2 linked regions of the Macaca fascicularis genome follow. The protein of the gene in region 1 interacts with the protein of each later gene in a biochemical or structural test. Links are inferred from orthologs where the notes say so. Each region holds a gene or a part of one and is shown on either strand. Other genes may lie near its edges.

Region 1 (4,899 bases):
CGATTTGGCTAACTATGATTGGTTCCCGCCATTTCTGATATTTTGGTTCAAACTTTGAGGCGGGAGAGCAGGTTTATGGCAGCAAGAGTTTTTCTTACTTAAACACGTCTTGTGACCTTGCCTCAGAACTTACAAAATCTCTGGTATGTGCAAAACAAAATCTCTGGTACGTGCAGAAAACCAGGTACTCACAGAACTTACGAAATCTCTGGTATGTGCAAAGATTAGAGAGCAGAACAAAGGTGTAGCGGGTGGGGGGCGGGTACACATCTATCTTTGTGTCCTTTCACTAGTATTACAAAGCAAGCGCTGCATGCCAGGCTTACATATACTGCTAACATGTCTACTTTTTGTTTTTTTGAGATGGAGTCTCGCTCTGTCGCCCAGGCTGGAGTGCTGTGGCCGATCTCGGCTCACTGCAAGCTCCGCCTCCCGGGTTCACGCCATTCTCCTGCCTCAGCCTCCCGAGTAGCTGGGACCACAGGCGCCCGCCACCTCGCCCGGCTAGTTTTTTGTATTTTTTAGTAGAGACGGGGTTTCACCGGGTTAGCCAGGATGGTCTTGATCTCCTGACCTCGTGATCCGCCCGTCTTGGCCTCTCAAAGTGCTGGGATTACAGGCTTGAGCCACCGCGCCCAGCCACATCTACTTTTTGCAACAACCTCTTGAGGGTGAGACTATCATTTGCCTGTTTCACTGAAAAGACAGTGAAGACCGAGGCCTTGTGTGATGGTGCTGAGAGCTGGGCCTATGACGTCCAGCCCTGTAGTCTGTGCTCTGAACCACTTCACTCTGTTTCTTTCTCCATCCTCACAACAGAGAAGTCATCTAAGAGGAGCTTGCAAGTCCGGAGGGCTTCCTGGAGGAAGTGAGCTGAGAATAATATAAAATTAACCAGACCAAAGGGCATTCCAGGAAGAGGGAATGGTACCTGAAACTGCCCAGGAGTAGCAGGGAGCCAGGAGGCGTGGGTCATGGCAATAATCTATGTATAAAGAGCTATGGGAAGCTATAGGAAAATTTAAGGGAGTGGCTGACACAGTCAGATTTGTGTTGTAAGTATCACTCCCCAGGTTGCGCAGAGAACAAATGAGGGAGCCGAAGGAAGGGGTTCTCCTATCCACTGCACGGTACTGCGCAGAAGACAGGGGAGCCAGGCATTCCCTGAGGGGTGAAAAGCAAGCAGTAGAGCTGGGTAGTGGACTAGAACTTAGAAGCCTGGCCTGGAGCCTGGGTGGGGCGAAAGAGGAGGAGCCTGAATGGGGTGTGTATAGGGGGTGTGCGTAGGGGTGTGTGTATAGGCTGGGGCGGGGTCCCTGGAGTGGGCTGACTGGGTCGGCGGCAGGTCTCCAGGTGGGCGGGGCTCTTGGCCACCTCCCCCGCCGGCCACACCTCTCTCCGGCTCGAGCTGGGCCAGGAGGGGTGGGCCCGAGGGGGCGTGGCAGGAGGCGGGCGGGCCCGAGCAGGAGGGGCGGGCCCGAGGGGCGGGGCAGGAGGTGGGCCGCCCGCGGCCACGCCGCCGTCGCGGGTACATTCCTTGCTCCCGGCTGAGGAGCGCTTGGGCTGTCTGCGGACCCCGCCGGGTGCAGGGGTCGCGGCCGGCTGGAGCTGGGAGTGAGGCGGCAGAGGAGCCAGGTGAGTAGGAGGCAGGCGACCAGGACCCTGTGCAGGGCGCGGAGTCACGCAGGCTCGAGGTGAGCCGGAACCCTTGCGGGCCCGGGCTGCGCTCCCAGCCGCCAGGGGGCGAGCGGCGGCGGGGCTGCAGGGACTGCCCCTCCCGGCGCAGGGGACCTGGGCGTCCGCCGGGCGGCAGGGGGTGGAGGGGGCGGTAAATCAGTAACCCGCAGTGCACACAGGGCCTTTTGTCCCGCTCCGTCCAAAGAGCACCCTGGCCGCGGAGCTGGTTACTCATTGCCCACCGAGGCGGGGGCAGGCTGGCCCTGTGCAGCTACCCTCGGGACCCATTGATTCGCACCTCCCCCCAGGCTGGCCCGGCAAGGGTGGGGGAGGACAAGCTTGTCCCTGCGGCTGTCTTCGCGCCGGCGGCAGAGATGAGGGAGCTGAGGCCCCGAAAGTTTCAGTCACTTAGCGCCCGGGGGCCTCCACCGCGAGTGCGGGAGGCTGTCTGATGCCTAAGGCAGGCCCTCTGTTCCCACGTGTGGGGTGGTCGGTCAGCGGTCAGCAGCCACGGGTGACTTTTCCACGGACTCTGATATCAGGGCAGCCTGGGGTAGGAATAAAATCCCCGGGCCTCCCCAGCCACTCCCAGCCCAAGCTGTGTACTCAAAGAGCTGCCCTCCCTGCCAAGCCGAGCTTGGTAGGGGGTTTTACCAAGGGGGATCCAACTGGATTTGAGAGTTGAAGTGGCCTCAGAGACAGCAGTATCTGAGTCAAGTAGAGAAGAGGAATGGGGGGCACAGAGGGATGGGCAAGAGAGCATATGTGACCAGTTTTGAGAGCCAATGGCTTCAGCGCTCCTGAAGGGACAGACGGTGTGACCAAAGAGATAGGCAGCGGAACAGAGGGAGCCCTAGGATGCTGAGCTGAATCCTGCTGGGCACAGGTAACCATTAAGGGCTTGCAAGCTGGGGGCATGACATGGCAGACTTGTAGTTTTTTAAAACTCTGCTGGAAGATGAAGGTTGAAGAGCCCAGGGAGAGGATGTTTCCAAAGGCCCATGCAAGAGATGGCCATGACCTGCCCTGAGTCAGGGCAGGGGAAGCCAGATGGACTGGAAGTGGAGTGGCAGTGACCAAGGGTAAGGAGGTGTGATAGGCTTCCCACACAGGGTAGATCCAGAGGCACCAGTGCCACCCATAGGCCCCTAGGACTGCAGTGATCACAGTATTCCTTTGTCCCAGCTGAGACTCGGTTCTGAGTGTTCTGTTTTGGGGAACAGAGGTGTCCTTGGTAGCATTTGGAAGAGGATAGCCAGCTGGGGTGTGTGTACATCACAGCCTGACAGTAACAGCACCCGAACCGGAGGTGACTGGCTGAGGGCAGACCCAGGGCAACAGGTGAACAGTTCTAGGGCCGGGCACAGGGAGAAGAACATTCCAACACTCTGTGTGCCCAGTGCCGATGCACGTTGTCTCTTTTATCCTCAAAACAGTCCTATGAGGATAGTAACCCAGAGAGAGACAGAGACAAGGAATTACAAGTTGATGAGAGTCGGGATTTGAACTTGGCTCTGGTGGATGGATAATTACGGTCTGTATTCTTTACAAAACCGTGTGTACCTCGGATGGAGTTGGTGCATGACAAGCAGAGGTATTCAGGGATGCGGTCCTGCTTGCCACGGAAGGAGCTGCCTTGTCAGTGGTGGGCGCCCAGCTCTGGAAATGTCAGTAATGCTATAAGGAGTGGGGATTGGATCAGATAACATCCAGATGCTGAAGTTTGGCCTTGTATCATTTTTCACTTTGTTTTTTGGCTCTTCGGCAATCAATTCATTTATTCAGCAAAAAATAAATTACGTGTGCCAAGAGCATGCAGAAGATAGTCTCCGTTCTCTGCTTCCCTCCAAGAAAAGAATCCCAAAACTGCTTTCTGTGAACGTGTGCCAGGGTCCCAGCAGGACTCAAGGAGAGCAGGAAGCCCAGCCCAGACCCCTTGCACAACCTACTGTAGGAAGGCGTCAGGCTCTGGCTACAGCAGAGCTGGTTCCAGTCTGCACTGCCACAGCCTGGCCAGGGACTTGGACACATCTACTGGCCACTTCCTGTCTCCGTTTCCTCATCTGCAAAATAAGGGAAAGCCCCCGCAAAGGTGCATGTGGAGCAGGAGCTCTTTTCCCCCCCTATTCTAGGAAGGCAGTTGGTGGGAAGTCCAGCCTGGGCCCCTGAGAGCTGCGGGAAGGAGATGCGGCTGCTGTCGGCCCTCTTGGGGGTCCTGCTGAGTGTGCCTGGGCCTCCAGTCTTGTCCCTGGAGGCCTCGGAGGAAGTGGAGCTGGGTATGGCTTCTGAGGGGGGAGAGGGTGGCAGGGGTGGGAAGAGTGGGCACCAGGAGGGGGCTGCTGGGCTGAGCAAAGCTGGAAAGGATCCTTGCCCAGGCCCTGAGAAAGTGGCAACAGGGCAGGGCTCAACCACTGAGACTCAGTCAGTGCCTGGCTTCCAGCAAGCATCCATGTATCTCTGTGTCTGCGAGAGAGGACTGGCCTCGCAGGGTGCAGGGCCCTAAGCTGGGCCGCAGAGCTGGTGGTGAGCTCCTTGCCTGGGTGTGTGCGCGCGCGTGTGTGTGTGTGTGTTCTGTGCACTGGATGTGTGACCTAGGAGGTCCAGGCAGCATGTGTGGTGTATGCATTATGAGGGTGATATGCCCCAGCGCAGCATGACCCTGTATATGGCACCGATAGCATGTGCCTTGTGTGTGTGTGTCCGTGTGTGTGTGTGTGTGTGTGTCTTGGCCAGTGTCATGTGCACTAAATGCTGTGTGCGTGACATGCCCCAAGAGTGTGGCATTTGCCCTGGGTGTGGCATCCGCAGCATGTGGCTGTGCGGGTGTCAAGGAGCGGTGGCTCCTCCAGCATGCGTCGCGAGGTGCTTGTGCCCTGCATGTGTGGCGTGTTCTCTGTACGCAGGAGGCTGCCTCAGATGGGGCTGTGGGGTCTGCTGACCTCTGCCCTCTGCCCACAGAGCCCTGCCTGGCTCCCAGCATGGAGCAGCAAGAGCAGGAGCTGACAGTAGCCCTTGGGCAGCCTGTGCGGCTGTGCTGTGGGCGGGCTGAGCGTGGTGGCCACTGGTACAAGGAGGGCAGTCGCCTGGCACCTGCTGGCCGTGTACGGGGCTGGAGGGGCCGCCTAGAGATTGCCAGCTTCCTACCTGAGGATGCTGGCCGCTACCTCTGCCTGGCCCGAGCCTCCATGATCGTCCTGCAAAATGTCACCTTGACTATAGATG
Region 2 (5,052 bases), on another chromosome or scaffold:
ATAGTCCACAGGGTTGAGAGGTGCCAGTGGGCAAGTGCCATCCCACACAGGTGTCATTACCCCTTGGTGACCCAGGACAGGCGCGGGCAGGAGCCGGAAGGGCTGGGCAGTAAACACACTGCAGGACGGCCTCAGTCAGGTTTCTGCCTAAGTCTGCAAAGGTCACTGAACTGCAGGTGGGTGAGGATGTGCCTGTGCCAATAAGCTCCTGATAAGAGGCTCATTGCAGCAACCCAGGATCCTGCCGAGCCCACGGATGGCTGGGACAAAGCACTGGACAGCAAGCACGATTTCTCCCAAACATGCCAAATGATAAATAAACAAGGAACACAAAACCGAATAACTGGAGGACCTCCTTCTATTTACTCGGCTTGTCCTTTGGGAGAAATAAGTATTACATTCCCCATACAGAAGATGAAATGACTTCAAGTTTCTAGAAGAATGTGGAATCTTTATTTAAGAAAGAAAGAGGCCAGGCGAGGTGGCTCACGCCTGTAATCCCAGCACTTTGGGAGGCCAAGGCAGGCAGATCATGAGGTCAGGAGTTCGAGACCAGCCTGGCCAGGATGGTGAAACCCCATCTCCACTAAAAATACAAAAAAACTAGCTGGGCATGGTGGCACGACGCCTGTAGTCCCAGCTACTTGGGAGGCTGAGGCAGAAGAATTGCTTGAACCCCACAGGTGGAGGTCGCAGTGAGCCGAGATCATGCCACTGCACTCCAGCCTGGGTGACAGAGCGAGCGAGACTCCGTCTCAAAAAAGAAAGAAAGGAAGAGAGAGAGAAAGGAAAGAGAGAGAGAGAGAAAGGAAGGAAGGAAGGAAGGAAGGAAGGAAGGAAGGAAGGAAGGAAGGAAGGAAGGAAGGAAGGAAGGAGGGAGGGAGGGAGGGAGGGAGGGAGGGAGGGAGGGAGGGAGGGAAGGAAGGAAGGAAGGCAGGCAGGCAGGAAGGAAGGAAGGAAGGAAGGAAGGAAGGAAGGAAGGAAGGAAGGAAAGAGAAAGAGAGAGAAAGATCCTCAATCTGTGTTAGACCATGCACAGGGGATCAAGAGGCACAAAGGGGGCTGGGCCCGGTGGCTCACACCTGTAATCCCAGCACTTTGGGAGGCCGAGATGGGCGGATCACTTGAGGTTGGGAGTTCGAGACCAGCCTGGACAACAAGGTGAAACTCCATCTCTACTAAAAATACAAAAATTAGCTGGGCGTGGTGGTGGGCACCTGTAATCCCAGCTCCATGGGAGACTGAGGCAGGAGAAACGCTTGAACCCGGGAGGCACAGGTTGCAGTGAGCCGAGATCGGGTCACTGCATTCCAGCCTGTGGGACAGAGCAAGACTCTGCCAAAAAGAAAAAAAGAAAAAAAAGGCACAAAGGGATTTCAGGTGACCCAACCCCCAATTTGGGCAGAATGGCGGGTTAGGTTGATGTCCCCTGCTGGCCTCCCATCATTAGAAGCACTCCCCCCACCATCATATATGTCAAAATTAAAGTTGCAAGGGTGGGTTTGGAGCGGCTCTGGGTGGGAGTCAGCGTCCAGCGTGCCGACCACCCCGTTTCCCTGCAGTCCTCTCACGCAGGACTCCGCCATAAAACCTGAAACAGGCGCTCTGAGTACACGGAGCACGACAGAAGCACCGAGCAATTTTGAGACTCTTAAAATGCTTTGTCCCGCTGTTCACAAAGGAGCTGGTTGTGCTGGAGGCGGCCCCGCCTCTGCATCCTTTCTGGGGTGGGGGCCCCGGGCAGGCGCGGCCACCCCCGCCCTGGCCCCTGCTCCGCCAGGGAGTCCGGGGCTGCGTGTGAGGCCTGCGCGGGCCGAGACCTCACACAGCCTCCTCTGCGCGCGGGGCCGCGGGAGGGGCGCGGGTTCGTTCCTTTGAACTCCCAGCCTTTGTTCCAGGGCCACCAGAGCCCCAGCGCTCGTACACTTCCGGCCCCGGGACCTCTGCGGTTACCTGGGCCTTCCCAGCCAGCCGCCACCCCCTGCCCCCACCAGAAAGCGTTTACAGGACAGGTGAGGCCCGCAGGAGGAAAAGCACGCCTCTGGCGCAACTTGACTCCAGCGCATCTGCGTCTAAGCCACATCGTGCTCCTGGTAGATTAAAAATTAATTCTAAAAAAACTCGCCTATCCCAAATGCACTGTTTTCTGCCTTGCTGGACAATTGATTTGTTTTTTAAAGGAAAGTTATGGGTAGACCCTCTTTTTTCTTTCCTGTTCTTTTTTTCTTCTTTTTATACTGGAGGGAGGGAAACGGAGGCGAGGACCACACACGCGCAGGCAGAGGCTGAAAAGGCCCGAGGTGGGTTTTCCTGTTTAATATCAAAGGAGGCCGAATAATGGGTTTCCTCGGTCCGGCTGGGCCGGCCTTTGACTCAATTGCAAATGCAAAGGCAGCTTTTGCCTATTCTCTGGCTACTGGCTGAGACCCTAAATTTCAGTAGAAAATCGTCGGACATGCACTTAATCGGTCTTTGCAATCTCCCTCAAAGTTGCACACGGGTCTGGTCGGAGGAGGCGAGAAAACCCTGGATTCGAACCAGCGCCTTTTTCTCCTTCCGGCCTCCGCCCGGGGACAGGCGTTGGTTCCCCGCCCCGGCGCATCCGCCCCGTGGGGACACTTACCAGCCCCTGCATCTTGCCGTCGGCGCCCATGCAGAGGTACCGCACGCTGTGCACGCCCTTGATGGCCACGGTCCGCAGAGCTACTGCCTTGATCTCCAGCAAACCTGGGCGCAGGGAAAGCGAGAAGCTGCAGCCGGGACCCCCGGGGCTCGCACCACGTGGGTGCGGTCGGTCCACGAGCCTGTGCCTCTCCCTAGCGTCCCGCGCCGTTTGGGGACTAAGGGAGGGATCCTAACGCCCAAGTGCCAAAACCTGGGGTTCCCAGGAGTTGAGGGGTCCGCAGGAGCCTAAGGGTGGCAAAGGAAGGAAGGGCGCTGGGGTGGGATGCGCGGGGCGGGGCGGGCGGGGGACCTGGCTGGCACTCACTGTGCGCGCTTTGGCCCCGCGCGCAGTCCACGACGCCGTCGGTGCGGATGCGCAGGAAGCAGCTGGAGAGCCCATGGGGGCCGGAGGTGTACAGGTGCCGCAGGCGGATGGGGTCGCCCCAGCCGTAGTGCACGTGGGGCCCCGCGTCCGAGAAGGCGAGGGGACGCCCGGCCACGGCCAGCCAGAGGCTGGCCAGGATCCAGGCGTGGACCACCACACACCCGCTCCTCATGGCACCTCCCTGGGGCTCTCGGCGCAGTTCCGGCGATGGGGGTGCGGGAGGCTGGGCGGCGACCGGGATGCGCTGCGGGGCTGTGAGTGCCGGATTGGGATGGCCGTGGCCCTCGATCCTGGACGCAGCGCTCCTGCTCCGACGGCGCGGCGGCTCCGGGCCGGCAACCTTATATAGTAGCGCCTTACGGGCCCCGCGGGTAGGTGCCCAAGACACCCGAGCATTTCTTATCGGGATTGCATCAAGCCTCCGCCCCCCGCACACACCCACTCACACCCCGCCTCCGGCCCCAGCCCCCTCCCCGGGCCCGGGCAGGCAGGCGGCGGCTTCTTGTCCCAGCCGGGGTGACCCCGCCCAGGCCGTTCGGATCTGCGGGAGGAGGAGGCCTCGTTTAGCGGCCGGGTTTCGGGGAACTCCTCCCCACCGCGCAGCGGCCCCGAGGTTCTTGGCTGGGAGAGTTTGACTTTGCAAAGCAATCGACAACTGGGGCCCCTCCCCCAGGCGTCGGGCTCCCAGTGGATGCTCTCGGCATGGGGCACCAGCAGGGGCGGGGTCAGGAACCCCGGGGTCAGAGGTTTGGGGGCACCGAGTTTTGCCTCCTTCACCCTCTAGTCGGTAAAAGCCTCACCTCGGCCTTAGGGTCCTTCCCCTTAAAAGGCCACTCGCACTCCCTCCCCCGACTTTCCCAGCCCAGCACATCTGACGTCAAAGCCGTCCAATAGAATTTCCCCCCGCAGTTCCGACCGTCTCAGGTTCTCCCAGCTTCATCTTCTTGCAATTCCTGCCCCGCCCCTTTTATCCGGGTAAATTGCCCCCCGACGGGGGGCCGGGCGCGCTCTCTGCGGGCCGGGAAACAATGGGAGCCGCGCGGACTGTAGGTGGCGCCGCAGCCTCGGCGTCGGCCTCGGCTTTGCGCTCCTGGCCGCGCGCCCCTGCCTGCTCCGCGCTCGCCCCGGCCCCGCGGCTGTGCCCGAGATGCTACCTGAAAGGGGGCACTGGGAAGAAGGCTCTCGGGCAGGGGGTGCGGGCCAGCTGCGGGATTGGTGAACCCCAGCTTCTCGGCTGGAGGGTGATGGAGGCAGAGGCGCAGGGAGGGAGGCCTGGGCCTCCGTTTCCCGGTTTTTGAGCTGTCTTGTGTCGGGGGTCTGGTCCTTCAGTCCCCGAGTCTCTGCGCACGGGGTCAGGGGGAACAGCACGGTCGGGGAGGTCGAGAGCGCCTTACCTGGTGGGGAGGGGTCGGGAAGGGGCCAAGGAACGGTGATGGGCGCCCCTGGCTTCCGGGCATGTGCCAGGTGAGGAAAGAAATAGGGGCCGCTCCATGAAGTGGTTCCTGTAAATAAAGAAAAGGACATCCAGAGAATACCCTGGCGGGGAATAAAGGGGTCCTCCTAGGGGGGTTTGGCTTAACTCTAATTATTTCTTGTTATTCTTCCAAACCCCCAGCTCCTAGATGTGGGGCCCCAGGAGGCTGGTTTTGGGGCAGAGCCCTCCTGGCCCAGCGCAAAGGCGATGGGGAGGGCAAACGGGAGAGACAGCGAGAGAAATGCCAGGCCTAATGAATTTCAATGAGCACAGGCCACATTCATCCCCCAGTCAGTGACTGGCGTTAATGACTGAGGGCGCAGCAAATGTCACCAGGAAAGTCTTTACAAAAAGACATCATCCCGAAGGCTTTCTAGACCAGGGACCCCCACGCTGTGTGTCTTGGTTCAGAAAGCAGTGGCTTCTGTTAAATCTAATTACTTCCCCCCTGTGGCTTTAAATCGACGGCGGCTCCTATTAAACTTAATTACCCTCCCCTGCAGCTTTCGTTTTAAAGATCCGTGGTAAA

What was found. The genes of interacting proteins can lie anywhere in the genome.
Region 2: the proteins of FGFR4 (region 1) and FGF19 form a complex in vitro, tested with the Homo sapiens proteins (2 studies listed by BioGRID and IntAct). The link is inferred for Macaca fascicularis from reciprocal best matches to the Homo sapiens genes FGFR4 and FGF19.

What each region holds. Positions count from the first base shown.
Region 1 is NC_088380.1:184,007,251-184,012,149, forward strand, and holds the start of FGFR4 (fibroblast growth factor receptor 4), read left to right. Parts: upstream 1-1,491; 5' UTR 1,492-1,635; intron 1,636-2,018; exon of another isoform or gene 2,019-2,563; intron 2,564-3,809; 5' UTR 3,810-3,862; coding exon 3,863-3,953; exon of another isoform or gene 3,954-4,200; intron 4,201-4,635; coding exon 4,636-4,899. UniProt on the Homo sapiens protein: Tyrosine-protein kinase that acts as a cell-surface receptor for fibroblast growth factors and plays a role in the regulation of cell proliferation, differentiation and migration, and in regulation of lipid metabolism, bile acid biosynthesis, glucose uptake, vitamin D metabolism and phosphate homeostasis.
Region 2 is NC_088388.1:4,953,574-4,958,625, reverse strand, and holds the start of FGF19 (fibroblast growth factor 19), read right to left. Parts: upstream 3,368-5,052; 5' UTR 3,222-3,367; coding exon 2,990-3,221; intron 2,728-2,989; coding exon 2,624-2,727; intron 1-2,623. UniProt on the Homo sapiens protein: Involved in the suppression of bile acid biosynthesis through down-regulation of CYP7A1 expression, following positive regulation of the JNK and ERK1/2 cascades. Stimulates glucose uptake in adipocytes. Activity requires the presence of KLB and FGFR4.